3 linked regions of the Notamacropus eugenii genome follow. The protein of the gene in region 1 purifies or fractionates together with the protein of each later gene. This does not show direct contact. Links are inferred from orthologs where the notes say so. Each region holds a gene or a part of one and is shown in the gene's direction. Other genes may lie near its edges.

Evidence for each region.
Region 2: the proteins of ANKRD52 (region 1) and PPP6C purify together in Homo sapiens (affinity purification with mass spectrometry; 6 studies listed by BioGRID and IntAct, with this or other methods). This does not show direct contact. The link is inferred for Notamacropus eugenii from reciprocal best matches to the Homo sapiens genes ANKRD52 and PPP6C.
Region 3: the proteins of ANKRD52 (region 1) and PPP6R1 purify together in Homo sapiens (co-immunoprecipitation; 3 studies listed by BioGRID and IntAct, with this or other methods). This does not show direct contact. The link is inferred for Notamacropus eugenii from reciprocal best matches to the Homo sapiens genes ANKRD52 and PPP6R1.

The regions. Positions count from the first base shown.
Region 1 is NC_092874.1:231,520,043-231,527,538, reverse strand, and holds the start of ANKRD52 (serine/threonine-protein phosphatase 6 regulatory ankyrin repeat subunit C), read left to right. Parts: upstream 1-4,492; 5' UTR 4,493-4,741; coding exon 4,742-4,768; intron 4,769-5,085; coding exon 5,086-5,169; intron 5,170-5,347; coding exon 5,348-5,426; intron 5,427-5,526; coding exon 5,527-5,597; intron 5,598-6,514; coding exon 6,515-6,715; intron 6,716-6,998; coding exon 6,999-7,086; intron 7,087-7,233; coding exon 7,234-7,376; intron 7,377-7,496. UniProt on the Homo sapiens protein: Putative regulatory subunit of protein phosphatase 6 (PP6) that may be involved in the recognition of phosphoprotein substrates.
Region 2 is NC_092872.1:447,465,662-447,473,098, reverse strand, and holds the start of PPP6C (serine/threonine-protein phosphatase 6 catalytic subunit), read left to right. Parts: upstream 1-4,429; 5' UTR 4,430-4,494; coding exon 4,495-4,662; intron 4,663-7,437.
Region 3 is NC_092876.1:17,896,448-17,903,393, reverse strand, and holds the start of PPP6R1 (serine/threonine-protein phosphatase 6 regulatory subunit 1), read left to right. Parts: upstream 1-3,938; 5' UTR 3,939-4,080; coding exon 4,081-4,257; intron 4,258-4,277; exon of another isoform or gene 4,278-4,674; intron 4,675-4,688; exon of another isoform or gene 4,689-4,822; coding exon 4,823-5,055; intron 5,056-5,541; coding exon 5,542-5,728; intron 5,729-6,028; coding exon 6,029-6,166; intron 6,167-6,946. Other genes in the region: HSPBP1 (hsp70-binding protein 1), read left to right, coding at 861-1,016, 1,315-1,411, 1,501-1,612, 2,325-2,399. UniProt on the Homo sapiens protein: Regulatory subunit of protein phosphatase 6 (PP6). May function as a scaffolding PP6 subunit. Involved in the PP6-mediated dephosphorylation of NFKBIE opposing its degradation in response to TNF-alpha.

The DNA.
Region 1 (7,496 bases):
TCAGGACCACTGGAGATGGCCCCTTTCATGGAAATGACCTGGATGAAGATCGAGGAGACAGAGAAGGAGTGATTAGACAAGTATAAATAGAACTAGGAGAGAGAAAAGTCATGTTGTTGACTAGAGAAAAGTCAACCTAGTGAAAAGAGTATCAAGGAAGGTGACTGACAGTGTCAAAGGTCAAGAAGTAGGAGAATTGAGAGACCATTAGATTTCACAATTAAGAGATCATCAATAACTTTGGAGAAAACTGTTTCCATTGAATGGTGAGGTCAGAAGCCAGACTCTAAAGAACTGAAAAGAGAGTGAAAGGAAAGAAAGTTACAGAGACAGAAGGCAGGTGGAGATGGGGGGAGAAGAAGTAGCTTTTAGTGAATGGACTTCATTTTTTTTTCCAAAATATAAGCAAAGGTTTTCAGTTGAGAGCGTTGGAGAGGAGGAGCTATAGAAGGTTCAAGGAGGGATGAAAAGGTTTGAAAAAACTGCTGTGATTCATGAGATAGTGAATCAATTGGGGATATGTAAAAGGATTGACTTGCTGCATTGAAGGCCCACAGTCCATGCCCTCTTGTCTGGCTAGGTTCCTGCCCCTCCTGATCAGGCATAAAGGGGTTGGGGCACAATCTCTAGTCATGAAACAGAACAAAATTAACTGGGATATGGGATTGAACCCATATCCTCATTTGCGTTGTACTCTGATGTAACTACCACAGATTTCCTTAGATCCTACCTCCCCGTAGATCTGCCAGGTCAATTTAACTTACTATCCTCCCAAAAAATGATATTTGCTAATTATTGCCTCTTGTGCTTTCACTCCTAAACTTCCTGTCCTTTCTCTACTAATTCACTTTTACCACTTCGTCTTGATTCAAAACTCCTCTTCTCCAAGAAGCATTCTCTGATTAATTTTACTCCAATTTGATTTCCTCAGTCTTATATCATCATTCAATGCTTTCTTTTAAGGTTTATGTTATTTTAACTGAATTTTATGTTTCACTTTGAAGGAATTCTCTATTGCTTATGTGTTTATCTCCTCAAAAAGATTATAAATTATAGAACTGATTTCTTTTGCATCTTTCCCCCACAACAAATGAAGTGCTCTGCACACAGGAGAATCTCAAAAACATTTATTAAATCAAAAAATGAAAAACTAAATGAAAACCAAGGCACAGAAAAAGCAAAACACTTGAGATCTATTTCTCTAACTTTGACATAGAACCCAGTCTCTAGAAACAAATCTTTTCTAGCTTCTCTGAGCCTAAAGTTTCAAACTTGAGTGTTCTGACTCCCATATACTAGCCCTCCCTCCCTAGGTTCTTTTTATTGGGCTCAGGAAAAAAAAAAAGCAGTCTTTACTATTTTATGTTCCTTTTTCTTTCACTGGGGAATCTCCTTCCTGTGCTGTTTGATGATAAAAATAACTCCTTCTCTTCATCCAGCTGCCCATGGAACCCAGTAAGTGCCTTCTATTCACCTTCACCCCATCCCAGACCCAAACATGTGACCTGTGTTCATCCTCTGACTAGTGTTCCTCATATTTCCCAGGGGCTATTTTGGGCCATATCTTTGGGCCAGTCCTCTAGTGATATAACTCTCCTCTGGAAATTGTCCTTTCTCCCCTAACCCTACTCCATACACTCCTCTTCTTGTCTCAAACTCTTCATTACATATCACTAGATAAATTGTTAAGAACTGAAAAGTATCTTAGAGATTATCTAGTCAAAATATCTCATGTTGCAAATCAAATATCTCAGAGATTCCAAGTCATGTGCTCAGGATAACATAGCGAGGAATTTATGGAGATGAGATTGTGTCTCTTGAATCCACTAGAGTTCAAGGTACTTTTTACCACACCATGCTGTTTTCCATATCATCATAAGCATGTCATCAGTTTGTTTACACATGTTTATATGGTAGGTGCTATACAAAACAATTTACAGTTCATACAAAACATCCTTGTGGTGCTGAGCATCTTGGATGTCAAACTGAGAAGATTCCTGTTCATAAGATGATTATAACCTAATCAAAGAGTTAGGATGTACACATATCAAAAAGATACACAAATGAATACAATATAAAGGTCCCGTAGTATATATGGCCTTTGTATACCTTGGGGGGGGGGGGAGGGTTAGTGCAACTCCTACCTTCACTGAAGAGTTTGGTCCTCAGAGCACTTGCCAGGTATATATTTCCCTCAGGGTTTTAAAGGTACCTCTGAAGAGGAAGTAGGTATCTTCCTAATAATACTAGGGGCTTGAGCCATGTTCCAGTGTATCCTTGATATCATTTAATAAATTAACAACAATTAACTTTTACAAAGGAATACTTAGTAAGAAGACATAGGAAGAACAGAAATGCAAAACATTTTCCCCAACAACTAGGACCCAGCCCTGTAGTATATTTGTTCTCTCATGGAGTCATTAACTTCTGTGTGGCCCATTCTAATTTTCAGGTACTTTGTGGCTTAGGTAAGTTTTGTATCTCTTGTATCAAGTTGTTAATTCTCTTTCTAAGATGTTCTTCCATAGCTCTCATTTCTTTTCCAATTCTTTCCTCTAACACTTCCATTTATAAAATAATCTTGTGAGTCTTAAAAAGATACACATGAAAAAACAACCCCCTTGCCTCATTTCTTGTAGGAATTCTAGTTGAACTTGTGCCCAAGTTGTGTTTTACTTTAGGTTATACATGTAGATGTTTTGGGGCCATTCTCTTCTCAGTTTGTGTCTTAGGTGCTCCTATCACCATAAAAGCTCTTTGTGGTAAGAATCTATTTTTCTTTGCTCATTCTTCCTGAAATCTAGCCTTAATTCTGAATTTTAGACTGTGTTAAGGCCTTCATACAGGGCAAAGCCTAATTGGTTTCTTTGTTCTCTGAGTTGTGCAACCTCCTAATCTGAATTAGGGTCAGAGCAACACAACTGTGTACTTGGCCCTGGTTGGAGCTCCTGTAGAAAGCTGCAGAACTCAACTACTATAGGCAATCAAAAAAAAAAAATGCATATTCAGAGTGATAGAATTGCAGGCTCTCCTTTATCTTCAGACTGGTCTGGAGGTAGAATCTGAGATCCTATTGTACTGCCAGGGTCAGAACCACATAGCTGCTGTTTGCTTCTGTTCCTGCTCCTTCTCTACTACAGGACCTCAGCTCGCAACTGCTGGTCCTGGACCTGAGACTTAGGTGCACTGGATCTATGACCCAGCTCTGGAATATGAGGGACAGACCTTCCAGTTGGCATGTGTCCTTGCTCTTTGGACAGTATCAGACCTCTCTGCGATAGATCCAGGAGGTCTTCTCGCCCTAGTGGACAGTCACTAGCCCTTATTCAATCCCTGCATTCAGCTCTGCACTATGACCCTATTCCCAGTTTCAAAAGGTATTTCTGTTCTCCTTTACCAACCTTGGCTGGAAAAATTACTCAGTGATTTTTTTTCTTGAATTTCCCCATCAGGATTCAGTCTGGTACCTTTCCTATATGTTGGTGGAATTGTGTTTGTCCTTTGCTCTTAAAAAGGACCATGACATCAGGAAGATGATGACATGACTTTCAGTTGACTTTAATGGGAGGGAGGGAGGGCTGTGCGAGGTCACCAGCCTCACCTTCTTCTCCTGATCCATCTGGGTCCGGTGGCCTGACATTCATCAGGACGGCTGGAGATGGCCCAGGGGGCGGTGGAGACCCTGGAGACCCTGGCCCTTGTAGGCGAAGGCCTTGGAGAGGATGGCTGCTTTCTTGTACTCTGCCCTCTCGGCCAGCCCCTACACAGCTCAGCTGCGGAGTCCTGCGGGCGAGGACGTGTCTTGGTCCATCGGCTGTAACCCATTTCAGAAGTAAATGCAATGGGGCGGAGTTCTGTCCTCTGCGCAGAGACCCAGGCAGTAAGCAGAACACGTGTGGCCCAGCGGCTGGGGGTGTTTGTACTTCTCCGAAGGGGGCGCGTCCTGACTCTGGCCAGACTACACTCTCGTAAAGCGCTCTTCTCAGCTTGCCTCCTGGGGGACGCGGTTCGGTGGAAAAGCATTAACGCGGGGCCGGAGGCTGGAGCTGGAAGGCCAGCTCTGTTCCCAGCAGTGTGAGCGTGGGCCTCGGTTCTCCCTTCTGCAGAATGGGCTGGAGGGCTGCAAGGGAGATCCAGGCTCAAACTGACCTCAGGCCCTCTGTGACATGAAGAGACTGGACCACACGGCTTCTGGGTTCCCTTCCAGTTCGGGAATTATGCTGCGCCACGTGACTACTACACTTGTGCAGGGTTAAACCCTAGAAGGCTGAATTTCCAGAGCTCCCCACACTTCTCCATCCCTTTTCAGATCTGGGGAGCGCTGCGGGTCAGGCTTTGGCCAGCAGGGGGAGCTGCGCGCTTGGGTTTGACAGTCGGAGCTGGAGCTAGATCCGGCCACCGGGGGGTGCTGCAGGGTAGGTTGCGGCGCGCTGTGGAGCCAGACTTGGCCGCCAGGGGGCGGAGCGCCGCCAGGTCGGATCGCCACCGGTGCTACGGGACGGCGGTGGGGCCGGCAGGCCCTGGCGGGAGGTCCGGGGGGCCGGAGCTGCGGGGCCCGGTGTGGCCGCCAGGGGGTGCTGCCGGCTCCCGCTCGCCCGCCTCCCGGTAGGCGGGGCCCCGCTCTCCCAGCAGCCGCTACCGTCGCTGCTGCTGCCGCCGCCGCCGCCGCTGCCCCGTGTCCCCGGTGGAGCCACCGCCGCTGCCGCCGGGAGCTCGATGCGGACGGAGCCTGGGCCGGGCCATGGGGATCCTCAGCATCACGGACCAGGTTAGTGACGGCGCCGCCCGCCGCCCGCCGGGCGCTGCCGCCACGCGAGCTCGGGGATGTGCGGCCTAGGCCTAGCCCGCGCCCCGGCCTCCCGCGGCCCCGGGCCCCCGCGCCCCGGCCCCCCGGCCCCCCGGGCCGGTTCCGGTCCGCCCCGCCCCGCGCCGCCCCGCATCGCGCACACCCAGCCCGCCCGCAGGGCCGGCCGGCCCCGCCTCCGCGCCCGCCGCCCTTGCGGCGGTGACAGGGCACCCGGCGGGCCCCTCGCGGCGCTTCCCGGCCCGCCCCTGAGCCGCCCGCCCGCCGCTCTCTCCCCGCAGCCGCCCCTGGTCCAGGCCATCTTTAGCCGGGATGTGGAGGAAGTGCGCTCCCTCCTCTCGCAGAAGGAGAACATCAACGTGCTGGTGAGCGGGGGGCCGCCGGGCCCCCACCCCGCCCCCGCCCCGGGGGGAGGCGCCCAGCAGGGAGAAGGGGGGGCCGGAGCGGGGGTCCGACCTTCCCCCTGTGCCCGCCTGCGGGATGGAGGGCTGGGCACCGGGGTGTCAGGTCGGCGCGACCCAGCGCGGCCCTTCCCTTCAATAGGACCAAGAGAGAAGAACCCCTCTGCATGCTGCTGCCTATGTAGGAGATGTCCCCATCCTCCAACTGCTACTGCTGTCAGGTAAGAGAGGAGGCCAGGGCGCGGCGAGGTGGGGCTCTCTGATGCCTCCTCCTGGTCCCCAAGCCCAGCCTCCCCACATGCCTTCTTTACTTGTCCCCAGGTGCTAATGTCAATGCTAAGGACACACTGTGGCTGACCCCCCTACATCGCGCTGCTGCCTCTAGGAATGAGGTAGGCTCAGCTGGGCCCTTCTGCCTTCTAATGAGGTGGATGGTGAAGTCTTATTCCTCTGTCATCCTCCTCTAGAGTCTCATCTCCTGTACCATCTGGAGAGGAAAGTCAGATCTTGGCTCCTCCCTCCTGACCTCTGGGCAGGCTGTTTATGGGGGGCTGAGCTCTGCCAGCTGATTTGACGTCAGGGGCAGCTTAGCACTCTGCTGGCAGGCTGCAGGGGGCTCCAATGCCAGGCCTAAATGACTCATCTCTCCCTGAGGGGCCACCTTAGAGCCTGCTCCCCTTTTGAGCCCTGGGAAGAGCAGGAGAGGGCCCCTCCCAGGGCTACCCTGGTACTCTCCTGGCTTGAGCCATCATCCTAGAGGTCACAGCACAGTGCTCAGAAGGAGTTACTGAGGCTGATATATTAAGGGGTAGGGGGCTGGCTAGGTTTTGACCAGGGAATGGGGATGGAGGTCATCTGTTTTCTTAGCTTGTTATTGAGATTGATTTCCGTGGTTGTGGAAGGGTTGAAGGTGGGTGTGTACATGAAGGTGGGAGGCTTTATTTTTCCTGGAATTCCCATGGGGGTAGGGAGGATCAAGGAGTCTTTAGGATGTTTACTTTTGCTTGGGGAAAGGATGTAAGGGGTACTAAGATTACTAAGACTGGGAGAATGAAGTTAATTTGGCTTGAGGACGGGTCTGTGTTTACCCTGGAAAGATAGAGGTTCTATTCAGATGACTGTCAGTTGGTGTTAAGGTGGTTTGTATGTTTTCTTAGGGAAACCGGGAGTAAGATTGTGGGGAAGAAGGGATTCTGTATTTACTGGATGTTGAGGCTGTTCTCATTTCTAGAGTTAAGGCACCCATGCCAAATCATCCCCTCACCTCCTGTTCTTTGTTCTTCTTGTCCTGATAAATTGCCACTAACAGAAAGTACTGGGGCTGCTCCTAGCACATTCCGCAGATGTGAATGCCCGGGACAAGCTATGGCAGACACCACTGCATGTGGCTGCTGCCAACCGGGCCACCAAATGTGCTGAAGCCCTGGCCCCGCTGCTGAGCAGCCTTAATGTGGCCGATCGAAGCGGGCGCAGTGCCTTGCACCATGCCGTGCACAGTGGGCACCTGGAGGTATGGATTCCACTCCCTCACTGCCTGCTTATAACTTGTCTGGGGCATCCAGACACTGTGGTTATGGGGCTTGGTTTTCCATGCCCATCCCCTGGTCCTTTCCCTTTCCTAGTCTCTGCTTTCTCATTAGTCCCTGTCCATGGTCCTTTCAGCAATATATCAGTTTTCTCCTCAGTTTCCTGAGAAAGTGGAGAAGCTTTAGTATAAGATGGCTGGGGATAGGGAAGGGTGGAAAGGGACTTATGCCAGGCTCTAAATGGAAATGTCCCCTGTTCTCACACAGATGGTGAACCTGCTTCTGAACAAGGGGGCCAGCCTTAACGTCTGTGACAAAAAGGAGCGGCAGCCACTACACTGGGCAGCCTTTTTAGGTGAGGAAGAATCTTGGAGCAAAGAAAATGTTTGGCCTACATAGGCATAATTTAGAGTTTGAGAATTCTGGGGTAAAGGACCTGAAGTAGAGTTTATTCTCCATTCCCTTTAGCTTTGCCTTATCTCATTCCCCTCCCCTGCTTTAGGGCATTTGGAGGTCCTGAAGCTGTTGGTGGCCCGGGGTGCAGATCCTAGTTGCAAGGACCGGAAGGGCTATGGACTGCTCCACACAGCTGCTGCCAATGGCCAGATTGATGTGGTCAAGCACCTGCTACGGCTAGGGGCTGAGGTCAGGGGGTTGGGAGACTAAGGTTAGGGATTTAAGAACTGTAGAAGAGGTTATGTGGGAAGATAAGGTCAGCATAAGGAAGCTTAGGTTTGGTGGATCTATGGGCACTGGGGAGGTTTG
Region 2 (7,437 bases), on another chromosome or scaffold:
AGAAAGAGACATGATGGAGATTGCCAGCTCCTCTCATGTTGGCTTCTCCCCAGAGGTTTTTCCTCTTCATGGTCATGAAGAAAGTTTGGAATCCCATGCATCTTCTGTCTAGATGCTGGAAGCCAGAAGGAGCTGAAGAGATTCAAGAACCAAAAGAAAGTGGACAGCCTGGATCACTTACCAATTTCTATTCTCCACGCAGGGATGGGCATTGGATTCCATCAACGAGGAGAGAATCTCACACAATTAATTGGTCCTTTGATCCAGGGTTACACACACACACACACACACACACACACACACACACACACTCTTCTGTCTGTGTGTATATATATGTATGTATACATATATATACACACATGCATACACACACATATACATATGTATGCATATTGTCTTCCCTAATGGAATGCAAGCACTTTAAAGTGAGAGATTGTTTCTTTTTTGTTCTTGCAACCCCAGTACTCAACATTGTATCTGGAACTGTGTTTAGAATTCAGTAGGTATTTAATAAATATTTGTTGATTGATTTATTGATATATCTCTTTAGATATGGGTGAATGGCTTCTGTGGTGCCTTCTGATTTTTGAATTCTATAATCATCTAAACTTTGACTCTTCTCTAGCTCCAAATACAGGCCTTATATTTAGTGGGCTTTTTGGGAATATTGTTACATAGTTTCCTTGAATGTCAGAAAAGTTAAAAGACTTCATAATAATGAAATTTCCATTTTTATAGTACTTTAAGATTGAATCAATCAATCAATAAACAAGTACTTATTTAGTGCCTACTATGTACCAGGTACTGTGCTAGGTGCTGGGAACGCAAATATAATAAATGAAATGATCTCTATTCACGAGGAATATTTACAAAGAAAGCTCTTTCTTTGAAACAACTCTATGAAGAAGTATGTATTATCTTCACATTAAGTTGAAGAAGCTGATGCTGAGAGAGAAAGAGAGAGAGAGAGAGAGAGAGAGAGAGAAGGAGGGAAGGAGGGAGAGAGGGGGGGAAAAGGGGAGAGGGGAGTGAGGAGGGAGAGAGAGAAGGAGGGAGGGAGGAAGAGGATGATGAAGGGGGAGAAGGTAAGAGAGAGAGAGGTTGAGCATCTCGCCAGTGATCAAATGAGTCATTGCTAGGGCTAGACTTTGAACCTGTGTAGCCCAGGCCAGCACCATGCTACCTAAGATCACAAAACTAGAATCATTTTTTCCCCTGAGAAGTTCAGAGTCTGTTACAGACACCTTTATCTTTAGTAATCAGAGCATTTAAAGCTGGAAGTCTGAGGCTTTCATTTTAAAGGTGAGGCCCAGAATGAAGGAGATTTGCTCAAGGTTACAAATGTAGGAGGTAACAGGATATGAATTCAGATCTTCTGATTCCAAATCTAATGTGTGTGTTCCATGACATGACTTGCACTTGACTTTGTTTTTGAGTGAGGGAAGGCTGTGCAGGTCACCAGCTTCACTTCTCCTCCAGAGCCATCTGAATCCAGTGACTGCATATTCATCAGGATGACTGGAGATGACCCAGGATGAGACAACTGGGGTTAAATGACTTGCCCAAGTCACACAGTTAGTGAGTGTCAAGTGTCTGAGGTGAGATTTGACTTAGGTCCTCCTGACTCCTGCACTGGTGCTCTATCCACTGCACCACCTAGCTGCCCCTAGGTGGTGGCAGTTAGGTGGTACAGTGGATAGAATGCTGGGCCTGGAGTTAGGAAGACTCATCTTCCTGAGTTCAAATCTGGCTTCAGACACTTACTAAGCTGTGCCACACTGGATAAGTCACTTAACCCTGTTTGACTCAGTTTCCTCATCTGTAAGAGAAGAAAATGGCAAACCACTCCAGTATCTTTGCCAAGCAAACCTCAAGTGGGGTCATGAAGAGTCAGTAAATAGTGGGAAAATCTAATGACTGATCAAAAGATCCTAAAGGCCACAGTCCTTTGTGGTCCCTATCCACTTCAAAAGTGATTTTGGCAAAGTAGCAAAAAAGGATTCAAGGGGTGGTAAACATTATGCAATTTTTAGATGATCCACAAATTTTAATAATAGTGTTAATCCCTATTTCACAGGACTGTTTTAAAGAGCAAATGAGATAATAAATGCAAAGCTTTAAAAGCCTTAAATATAATTGTCAATTGGCATAGAAATGTCAACTATTATTATATTTCTCTTAAAAAAAAATCACAGAATCCTAGAACCATCTCTTCTGTCCAAGAGTAGTCCAGATCCTTCCGGTGAGGGTTAGCCATACACAGAGAATCCAGAGTACTCGGTCTGCGTACTTAGAGATTAAGGAGATTTTAGGGAGCATCTAGTACAATTGACTCATTTTAAAGAGGCAAAAACTGAGACGCAGAGAAGGGACGTTAACTGGCAGGCTGGGCAGAATGGGTAGAATGTCGGAACTGGGAGGGCACTTGAAGATAATATGGGGTAAACCCCTCATTTTAAAGATGAGAACAACGGAGGCCCAGAGAGAAGTGATTTGTCCACGGTCCCATAAAGAGCACGGGGCCAGAGACGGGGCTGAGATCCAGGTCTCATGTCTCCTAGGACTCTTTCTGTGAAACCACTTACTGGTTTGCCTGGATTGGGATCCCGGTCCTCAGTCAGTCCGTCTCCTCCCGTATCTTGGCTGTCGTCTTGCTTAGTGCAGCCGGGAAGGACACCCGGCGCGCCTATGTGCACCCCCAGGCCTATGACGCGGACAGGATTCCCCTCCCCAGGACCTGGAGATCAGCCGGTCAGCCCACAAGTTCCTACTATGTGCCAGGCATTTGCTAAGCGCTGGAGATACAAAGAAAGACAAAAAATAACCCCTGCTCTCTAGAAGCTCAGTCTAGCGGGGAGACAACCTGCAAACAACTGCGTACAGACAAGATACAGACAGGATAAACTGCATGTCATCTCTAAGCGAAAGCACTAGCAATAAAGGGGAGCAGGAAAGGCTTCTTGCAGAAGGTGGAATCTGTGCTGAGACTTGAAGGAAGCCAGGGAAAGCAGGAGGTGGAGGTGAGGAGGGGGAGCATTCCCGACCAGGAGAACCGCTACCGAAAATGTTCTGAATCGGGAGATGGAGTGTCTGGTGGGAGGAACAGAAAGGAAGCCGTGGTAACTGGATCGTGGAAAATAACGCGGAGGAAGCCTGGAAAAGTAGGAAGGGGCCAGGGTATGAACTCGGCTGTGAGTTGGGGGGCTCGAGGAAAAGGGGGGCGAGGGACAGAGAATCACGCAGGGCGGGGAGGGGCAAGGGGGAGGGCTCCATGGCTTGGCTGTCCAGAGAAGGTTCTCCCACGTCACAATTCAGCATCGATCCCCTGCACGAGACAAGGCGGCCTTTGCCTGCTGCATGTAGGTGTATGTGCAATTCTCTCAGCGCGTTTATGTGCATAAACCAGAGGTATAAGAAGCGCTGCTAGATGTGGGAAACTACAAATCCCAGGCGGCTTAGCGAGTCCTGGTATGTTTCCAGAGACGCACAGGTCTCTGTCGTGTAACTCCCGCGACTCTCCGTCTTGAGCCATTCAGAAGTAGGGCTGTAGGGGCTGGCAGAAAGAAGAAGCGGAAGGGCAAACTTTCACGCCTTGACGCAGAGACGCTGCGCGTCTACAGGAAGTGACGTTGAACAGAGTTCCGGCTTCGGCCTTCTCCGCCGCCGCCGCCACTGCGGGTTGTTATTCCTAAAATGGCGCCCCTGGACTTGGACAAGTATGTGGAGATCGCGCGGCTCTGCAAGTATCTGCCGGAGAACGACCTGAAGGTAAGGGCCGGGCTTCTGGGCCGTGCCGGTGGGGCCGCGGGGCGCTGACTCCGGAGTCCCCCGCCTTCCGGGAGTGGTGCAGCTGAGAGTCCTCCCGCCCTTCTTCCCTCCTTCTTTCCGTCCCGGCCCCCGCCCCTGTCAGCTCCGGGAGCCCCGGGGAGCGGGGGCGCCGGCAGCGCCACCTCCCTGCCTCCCGGCGGCTTCTGTGCCTCTTCCCTTCCCTCCACCCCTTCCCCACCAGGCTCTGGAGCCGAGCTGCAGAGAAGGGGGGAGTAGCCACAGAAAGTCAGAGCTAGAGGGGCCCTGAGACATCGTCTGGTCCAGCTTCTCCGTTATTTTAACAGATGGGGAAACGGAGGTGCAGAGAGGGGTGGGCACACCCGAAGTCAGCGGCAGAGCTTGGCACGGGGTGAGGGTGGGGACGGGGGCAAGGGGGCGTAGGCAGTGGCCTGAGGTCGGATCTTGAAGCTCGCTCGCCTGGCGGTTCCCAGCTGAGACCTGGGGGTGCCTCTCTCGGTGTGGTCCCCCATCGGCGATGTGGCAGGGGACGTGCCTGCTCCAGAAGGGGTTCTGCGGGGTGATTCTTGGAGCCCCTTCCAGTTCTGAGATGCTCTGATTCTGTCATTTAAGGGGAAAGTTACAGTTGAAGTGTTTGAAGGGTTGTCATGTGCGAGAGGTATCGAGCTTGCTCCGCTTGGCCCCCGAGAGCAGACTTAGGAGCAGTAGATGGAAGTTGCAGCGATTGCGCCTCGATGTAAGGAAAAACTTCCTGCCAGACCACAGCTGACCAAAAGTGGAATGGGCCACCTCAGACCTCCCCTTCTCTGGAGGTCTTCCAATAGAGACTTGTTGGCCCAACTTCTTGGGGAAGCTGTAGAAGGTATTGCTGCTCAGGTATGAGTGGGTTCAGATAACTTCTGAAGATCTTCTAGTTTTTAGAGACTGGGGTTTTGATAGCTGTTTGTACTGAAGGTTCCGTCCCCTGTCCCCTGGAGAAGAGGGATTAGACTTGTTCTACCTGACTCCACGGACCAGAAGTAGGAACAAGTGGGTACAGGTTTTCAAAGTGGCGTATTTTTCAGATTTCCTGAAAATTAGAAAAGGGGGCAGAGACGTGGGGGTTCGGGCCGAGAAGATCGGGGGTTTAAGTCTTAAAAGAGTCTTTGACATGCACAGTGCTTGTGGCCTTGGGTAAGTCACTTAACATCTTAGGGCTCAGGCGGCTGTTTAAGACAGTGAATTGCAGAGAAGGTGCCAACTTAAATTGGTAGAGGGAGTTTCCTCTTCTGGGATTTCTGTACACCAAGTCAAAGGTTCAACCCCTGTTCCCTCTTCCCTAAAAAAATAGAACAGGTTTATAATGGAGTCTGCTCCCTGAATAAGTTGCGAGTGTCCAGGTGCTGGATTTTGTCAAGCAAACGGTAATAAAGCTCATTTATTCAGGAGGATTTAGAGGGAATTTATGTTTAGTTACAGTATAACTAGGTGATTTTTGAGGTCCTTTCTGACCAAGAGTTTTTGTGATTCTACTGTTGTTGCTCTCTCCTTAAAGGGGGAATAGCCATTTTCTGATCCTTGAAGATTCGGGACTGTTAAGATCAAGCGTTTATCTCTCTGCTTCAGATTGTAGCAACTTGCTTTGTTTTGATTGAGTGGCTAATGATAGCCCCATTTTAGACTTAACGATACTTGCAGGGAAAAAAAGTTTTCTACTTTGTTGCAGAGTTTGAGTGTACAATATTTAGGTTATTGTTAAAATATGATAGCAGATAGACATTGTAATTTAATTCAGGAAAGTGAAATAAACCATATTTCCTTATTTCTCTCCCATGCCTCAAATTGACGTTGCCTATAAGACATAACAGGACAAACTTACTTGCTTGTTATACTTGTGTAAAGGTGTGGTAAAATAAGCTCTTTTGTTAGAATGTAAGATCCTTGACGGTACAGATTGTTTCATTTTTTATATTTGTATCTCCAGTGTCTGAGTTCCTAGTATAGTTCCTGGTACATAGTAGGTGCTTATTAGATGTTTATTGATTGACTGGTGCCTCTTTTAGCTGTTTTTAAAGTTTAATCTTCTCCCCTCCCCCAAGTTGTTCCTGATATACTGCCATGTTTTAGTAATTTGAGAATGAAGGAATTTAAATCTCTGGAATATTGGAGGTTTTTTTCTAAGTGGTTTCTATGTGTAGTGCTTAGTTTTTGTGCTTACAGGTGGGGACTAGTGCCAGAGTATTGGTTTACTTAGTAAACTTTGATCAGCTGTTTGCTAACTGGTTAACCTGTAGACAGATTTCTTTCCCTTTTTGAGAGATTAAAGGAATTTATCAAGGTAAAATGTATAAATTCTGTTCTTATAAGAAAGAGGAGTCTTGCTTCTTTTGCTTTGTAAGTCTGCTCAGTTCGTGAAATTTACACTTAAGTGCAACAATTAGTATAAGCTATTATATTTTGTTTGGAAGAAATTTATGGGCAACTTATTTTTAAACAAGATGTCTAGAAACAAATGAGAAGTCAAAAGATTGTTTCAGTAATCACAGTTGTGCACATTTGCATAGGTAGTACTTTGCAACTTATGAAACATTTTCCTCATAACACTCTTATGAAGCCGATTATATAAATACTATCCTAGTGTGCACCAGAAAAGTGAAGTGATTTGTCTGTAGACATGTAACTAGTGATAGAGTTGTGATGGCAACTGAGGCCTTCTGACTTCCATTTCTAGTGTTATTACTTTTCTAATTTCTCTGTTTCTTCATCTCAGTGTCTTAAGATTTTATCCTTGATTCTTGTCTCTTGGCAATCTCATTTCCACACCTTCACCCATTACTGTAATACAGATGACACCCAAATCTTGTTCCACTCCTGGCTTCTCCTGAGTTCTGGATATACATGAGTCCTTCTACATGAGTCTATACAGGACCTTTCACTGGCACTTCAAACTCAATAAACCCCAAATTGATTTCTTATTTTTTCCCCAGTACAGTGGAAAAAGCATTGATTTAAAGTTAGAGGACTTGGATCTGAGTCTAACTTCTGCTGTATATCAGCTATGAGACCTTGTTTATACTTCCTTACTCTCTGGGCTTGGAGTTCAAAGATCTGAATTCAGATCAGCTTCAGAGGTCCTTAATAGTTTTGTGACCTTGACAAATCACTTAACCTCTGCCTGCCTGAATTCCCTCATCTGTACAATGGGATGATAATAGAACCTACCTTACAGGGTAATGGGGATCAAATGAGAAATTATAAAGCACTTAGTATAGTGCCTGATACATGGTAGGAGCTTAATAAATGTTCCCTCCTTTCTTCCCCTCCCTTATGCACTTAGGTTAATTATTGGTTGTTTTGTATTATAGTTGTAGTTGTATATATGTAATAGAGACAGCTAGGCGGTGCAGTGGTTAGAGTATTTGACCTGTAGTTAGTGTAGTTGCACACTTTGTGTGCAAATCTAGCCCCAGACACTTACTTTGTGAACCCAGGCAAGTCATTTTCTGTCTCAGATTCATCATCTATAAAATAAGGATAATAATAGCACCAACCAAGGGTTGTTGTAAAAGTAAAATGAGATAACAATTGTAAAGTGCTTCACAAACTTTAAATTGATAAAGAATTATTATTTATCATTGTATCTGTTATCATGTTCTATCCTTCTCTTAGATT
Region 3 (6,946 bases), on another chromosome or scaffold:
CAGAAAACACAGCATGTACAGCAAAGTAAACAGAGGGGTTTTTTGGGAATGTAGATTTTTTTTTTTTCAGAATTCTTCACATAAAGTCAAATTTGGATAACATGAATTTACATAAAAGTGACAGCTGTTTGTATGTCCAAAACAGGACTTATTACCTTTCCCTGTAAACCCCTCCCCCCATTTCCTATGACTATCGAGGGCACCCCCATCCTCCCAACCTGGGGGTCATCCTGGACTCCTCACTCCCTCCCCCTCCTCCCAGATTCAGTATGGTGGCAAAGCCTGTCAATTTCCCCTCTGCCACATCTCCCCCACATGCCTGTTTTCTCCTCTGACAACCACTCCTTGGTGCAGCCCCTCACCCCTGGGCTGTTGCTCTGGGCGGGGCTGCCTGTCTCTGGTCTCTCCCCACTCCCATTCATCCTCCATTCAGCCACATAAAGGATTTTCTTAAAGCTTGGGTCTGACCATGTTATCTCAGCCCCTACTCATTAACCTCCTGCAGGACCAAATATGACCTGCTTGGCTTGGCCCCCTCCCTGCTATCTGGTCTTCCATCTTCCTCCCACACACATCCTCCCAGTCCTATCTCTGCTGTGGGCCTTCCCTCTCCCTTCTCTACTTCCACCGCTGACCTTGCTGGCTTCCCCCAGTCCTGTGCCCATTCTCTTCACATTTTTCCTACTTAGATTGTTTGCCCTCAGATTGTGAACACTTACAGGGCAGGGCCCAGTGCCTGGCACATAGTAGGTGGTTACCCTATGCTTCTCATAATTAATGCTTATTATGGCAATCCCCTTCTCTGGGAGCTGTCCTGGTATCTGAAGAACAAAGGCCTGACCCTTTGTTGCTGCCCCCAGGCCTGGTCCGGGAGCAGGAAGCTGGCCTGCTCCAGTTCCTTCGCCTAGATGGCTTTTCGGTGCTGATGCGGGCCATGCAGAAGGATGTGGTGAAGCTGAAGGTGAAGTCGGCCTTCCTCCTGCAGAACCTGCTGGTGGGCCATCCTGAGCACAAAGGTGGGGGGCGGCAAAGGGGGAGGCATGGGGGGACACAGGGAAGGCACCTTTGGAGCTGGGCACCAGCAGGCAGAGAGTGGGAGAGTGGGAGCCAAAGCAGGAAAATGCAGAACAGATTTTAGTGTTTCTGGGAAAGCTGTGGGAGGTGGGGCAGACTGACAGTTTGGAGCCCATCATGGAGGGAGGGTAGGCCTCAAAGGCTAGTCAGCAGTGGGTTAGGTTCTAGAAAGACCTGCCTCACACTCCTGGGCAGGCAGGGGGACATGTCTCTTTGACCCTGTCTTCTCTCCACCCTCAGGCACCCTGTGCTCCATGGGAATGGTTCAGCAGCTGGTGGCTCTGATCCGAACAGAGCACAGCCCCTTCCACGAGCATGTACTGGGGGCACTTTGCAGGTGAGAGGAATCTTAGGGGTGGTCAGGGTGGGAGGCTGGCATCTTGGGGCCAGCTGGGGCTGTGCTGACCTGGCCATCCCCCTCCACAGGCTGGTGACAGATTTCCCCCAAGGGATCCGGGAATGCCGGGAGCCTGAATTGGGGCTGGAGGAACTCCTTCGACATCGGTGTCAGCTGCTGCAGCAGCATGAGGAGTACCAGGTAAGGGGTGGGGACTGCTGCTTCTCCTTGGGCTCCTAGGAGCAGGCTAGGGGGCTGTGGGCAGGGGTTTAGGCCCAGGGTTAGGGAGGCAGAAGCCTATCCCTAAAAGAGCTCTCTCCTCATTGGGGGCATGAGGCCCATGTGTGCATCATTCCTCACTGCACCAGCCCTGGGCTCAGTGCCAGCCATTCAGCCGTAGGGGGGCCCCCAGCCCTGATGAGGAGTCCTCCTGTCACCTCACAAAGCCTTCCAGCTCTCCCATTCTGTGATGTTGGGAAGTTGTCCTCAAGTGGAGATGTGGAGACAGATGAGCAGAGACCCCAAGCTCTAGGAGAGTACCAGGAACCAGAGGGGCCAGGCACGGCCCTGGAAGGGCAGAGGGGAGGCCGGGGAAAACCCCAGAGCCTGGCACAGCCCAGATCAGGGGCAGCTAATAATGTGCATGAGCCTTTGGACTGAGGGAGTTCTAGAATGTCCCGAGGCCTCTCCCTACCCATCCCAGCCTGGCCCTGGTCAGGGGTAGCGAAGGGGCCCCGAAGGGACCAGCCCTTGTGGTCTTGCGGGTGTCCCTAGGTCAGCCTGGGCGAGAGCAGGATGGGGGGCAGGGGGGTAGGTGGAAGAGGCCGGGGCTGGCCCCCGGGTCTGAGGTGGGGTCCTAGGGAAGCGGCTCCCGGGTGGGGGGCTCAGCCCTGATCCTCCCGCTTCCTTCCAGGAGGAGCTGGAATTCTGTGAAAAGCTGCTGCAGGCGTGCTTCTCCTCCCCCACGGATGACAGCATGGACCGGTGAAGGCTGGGGAGGGACCCAGGGGCCCGCGCCCCGCAGCATGGAGCCCCGCCCCGCCGGCGGCTCCTCTCCAGCAGCCTGCCGCCCACCCGAGGCGGGGAGGAGGCAGCCTGGGCGCCGGGCCCGGGGCGCCGCGAAGCCCCCTGCTCTCCCTCCCCTCCGCCCCCTCCCGTGCGTGCCCGCCCCGCTCCTGGCTCTGCCCTGGCAATAAAGCTGTTTCTTCCTCCCCCTCGAGTGCCGCGTCTGTGTGCGGGGGCGGGGGGGCGGGGAGGGGGGGGGCAGCATTGTGGATGGGGGGGCGGTGTAGAGGGGAATTGACACACAGCCCCGGCGGGGGCGGAGAGACGAACGCGTACGCATGCGTACCACTTCCCGAGGGGGTGGAGGTGCGGGGCGGGAGTGAGGGAGCAGGACAGGGGCGTAGAGCGCCTGCGCAGCAGGAGAGTGCCGCTTTATAAGCCCCCCGAGGCGGTGGGGCAGCGGCTGCCTTTCCTGCACGCAAGCGCAGTCGCGTGTTTTGGTGAAGCCAGGCCGAGAGGGGGTAGACTGCCTGCTGGGCGCGCGTGCGCACGGAGGCCATGGGCTGCGAGGGGTGGGCTTGCACTGCATTGCGCTGAGCTCTCCGGTCCTCGCCACGGGGGATTGTGGGAGACTGCGGGGTGGAGGGGAGAGGGCTGGCTTGCTGCGGCAGGCAGGCGGGCGGGTCGGAGGGCAGACGGACGCTGCGGGGACCGTGAGTGGACAGACGGCACGAAGCCTCGAAGAAAGAGGACAAAGATTCGACCCGCCCGCCTGCCTGCGGCCTTCCAGGGCCGCCGAAGCAGGACCAGGGAGGGGAGGGGCATCCCCCTTGGGCTCTCTTTTATGTGTCGCGGGGCTCCGGCAGCTCCGCAGCCATTTCTCCCCCTCCCCCTGCGCCTGCGCGTGAGCCTGTTCCCGGGCCCGCGGAGCTTTTCTAGAGCGGCTGCGTGAGCTCCCCTCCCCCTCCTAGCTTCAGGGCGCCTGCGCACCAGCTCCCGCCCCCTTCCCGCCCTCTCTGCGGCTTCTCTGTCGCGCCTGCGCGCCAGCCATTTTGCTGCCGTCTCTCAGTTCTGCGCTCGAGCTTTCCCTGCAGAGGCTGCAGACGCAGACACAGGGGCGGCCGAGGCGGACGCAAGAGCGAGAGCAGAGCAGCAGCCGCAGCCCCGGCCCGGCCCTGAAGTCCCGCACCCGCGGGAGGAGAAAGAGGAGCGGGAGGGCGGGGGGGGGGAGAAACCGCCGCGGGTCTTGCTACCCCCCTACCGCGCGGCCCCTCCTCCCCCCACCGCGCAGAGGTTCAGGGCGCCTGCGCGGGCCGGGAGCGCGCGCCCACTTCCCCGCCCCGCCCCCTCCCCACGGCGCGCGCCCCGATGTGCCCGAGGCCGGAGCTGCCGCTGCTCGCGCGCCCAGGTCAGTGACCCTGCCCCGCCCCTTGCGCGGAGGGGGAGACTGAGGCCCCGCAGGGGTCTTCCGGGAGAGGGCGGGAGCGGAGGAGAAACGAACCCGGGGGAGGAGGGGAAGGGGCGGGGCTCGAGACCCCCGGGCGCAGACCGGGCGTGTCCCCCTGCTGGGGGGCGGGGCAGGGTGTCCGGGTGCCAGGTGACTGCGGCCCCGCCCTCCGGGGAACCTGCCCGGGCCGAACCCTGGACGGGAGGGCTCCTGGGGGATGCTGGGAAATCCCCCCCACGGCCTCCTCGGCTTGTTCCTCCCCGGTTGCCATTGGAAACGCCCCTCCTTTCCCTGCTTTCCCTCTCCGCGTCCCTGGGCTGCACAGCCGGGGACCCCCGCTCCATTTCTGGGCTCCTGGGAGGGGCACATCCAGCGCGCAGGCCGGCACCCTGGGGTGAGGAGCTCGGGGATGACCGCCGAGCCCCCCTGGGGCCAGCGCAGCACGCCGGCCTCGGGGCAGGGGGATGGCCCTTTCCCCTGCCCGAAGCCTCCCTGTTGGGTCGGTGGTCTAGGATTGGAGGCTCGGACAGCTCGGTCAGGATCGGGATTTGAACCCAGGGCGTTTCTCGTTGCGAGCGTGGACCGTTCTCGGGCCTTGCTCGTAGTACCTGAGCAGCGGGCACTGCTGCCCAGCTGGGGGCAGGGGGGCCTGCTGGCCTGTGCCCTGGCACGGCCTCCCTCCGCTCGGAGCTCTCGTGGCTCTTGCCCTGCGAGCCCCCCCCACTGGGGCCCATGGCTCTCAAGGGTGGCCATCCAGCTCCCTCTTGGCCTCCTTTAGAAGGCTGCTCCCCAGGAGACCCTGTGTTAGGGGGTAAGTCGGAGGGAGCCCCTTGTTCAGAACACCCGGGGAGAGCTGGGCTCCATGTGGGGGCTACCTTCTCAGCTTGCAGCCGGATTTTCCTGGGCTTCCCCTCCTGCACCCCACCTGCTCCAGGCTCTTCTCTGACCACCCTCTGCAGGGCGCCATGTTTTGGAAGTTTGATCTGCACACCAGCTCGCACATCGATTCGCTGCTGCAGAGGGATGACCTGGCTCTGGCCGAGCTTCTGGATGAGGAGGATGTGCTGCAGGAGTGTAAGGTGCTGCACCCCAAGCTGCTGGACTTCCTGCTGCGGCCAGCCCATCTGCAGGCCCTCGTGGACTGGGTCACCCGGGAGCCCCCAGCTGCCGGTGACGAGCGGCTTCGCTACAAGTGAGGCCGTCTCTCCTCATCTCCCTCTGGTTCTTGTGTCCTGTAGAAGGACAAGGGCAGGGCCCAGGTCCGAGTGCTGGTTTTGTGTCAGCTGCTCAGGCCACGCTGTTGGATCACTCTCCCTCATCTCACACCCAGTTATTTTTCCTGCTGGTTATCCTGTTCCCGGCCTGGGCCATCCTGCCCCAGGCCCTCTCTCTGCAGGTGTAATCCTGAAGCATGCAGTGCTGTGTACAAGGAACCCCTGTGAGGGAAGGGGGGGTGTCACTAATTATTCTCCTTGTTTTGGTCTCCTGGATTTGTTCCCTCTGGCACCGCCCCCCCCCCCCCCCCCAGCATAAGAACCTTTGATTGAATTTAAGCTGGAGTGCTTTTTTGTTTTACAAATTGGGAAGTGGAGGTCCAGAGAGGTGGCCAGGTTGCGGGATGGTACCTGTAGATTTTTGTTTTTCTCTAGGCAGAGCCTGACAGCTGCCTCTTCTCCAGGTACCCCAGTGTGTCCTGCGAAATCCTGACCTCGGATGTCCCTCAGATCAACGATGCTCTTGGGGAGGATGAGGCTCTTCTGGGCCGCCTCTATGCTTTCCTACAGAACAGAGCCCCCCTGAACCCCCTGCTGGCCAGTTTCTTTAGCAAGGTCATGGGGATCTTGATCAACCGAAAGACGGACCAGGTAGGTCTCTGGGGGCCTGGGGAGCTCCCTCTGACTCAGACCTTGATTAAAGAAGTGCCTGCTTGTTCTGGTTTGGGGAGACATGGAGGAAGTAGACAGCCAGGGTGTGCCCAAGTGATTCAGTGCCTGCCCCTTAGGGGGCCTTAGAGGAGGTGGGAAGGATCTCTGGAGGAGAAGCTGCCAGGGTGGGGGCCGATGGCCTTGATTGAAGAGTCCTTGGAGGGGGAGGGGCCCCACCCTGCAAAAGGCCTATGCTGTGATGGTGGAAGGGGTTAGCCAACTGGTTTCTTCTCCTCTCAGATCGTGGCCTTTCTGCGCAAAAAGGCTGACTTCGTTCCCTTGTTACTCCATCACATCGGGACATCGGCCATCATGGACCTGCTGCTGAGGCTGCTGACGTGTGTGGAGCAGCCCCTGCTGAGGCAGGAGGTCTTCAATGTGAGCCTTCCCCTTCCCTCCTTCTCCCCTTCCCTCCCCCATCTTCTTCCTCCCCTCCCCCTCCTTCCTTCTTCCCTTCCTCCTCTCCTCTGTTCTTCTCTTGCTTTCTCTTTTCTTTTCCTCTCTACTCCCCATCTTTTCTTTTCTCCTTTTCTTTCCTCCCTCCTCCTTTCTCCTCTTTTCCTTTCCCTTCTACTTTCATCTTCCTCTTTTCTCCCTTCCCCTTTTTCTTCCCTCTAGCAGTCAGGATTCCTCCTTTCCCCTGGCTGCCCTTGAGCGCCCCCTGGTGGAGCCCCACCTCTCTGAAGCAGTAGATGGTTTATGGTCCCTTTAGGGGCCCTGTTTTTTTCTCTGAGTCAGGGTCACATCCCTCATCTTGACATTTGGAGTCCCTTCCAGCTTGGGACTGCTGATATTTTGGCATTTCCTTACCTTTCCTCTTGTTGGCTCTGCTTTGACCAGCCTCTATTCCAGCCGCAGCAGGGTGAGGGGGATACCCTTCCTATCTTAGGGTCCTGGGTTGGGGGGGTGGCCAGGAGAGGAAGCCACCTCCCTTCTGTGGAGCCCCTTGAACCTCCGGTCTCAGCTCTGGCTGTAGGACAGCATCCCCTCATGTGCTTAAGGGTCAGTGTTCTTGTATTTCTTGAGGTTTTTCCTTTTAGCTTCTTAAGTTCTCCTGCAGCCCCTCTTCAAATCACTGGCTTGTGGAACTGGGAGCCCACTCAGCTCCCCCCCCCCCCCATCTTTTTCCATGTGAAACATCTGCCAATTCTTTTCCAT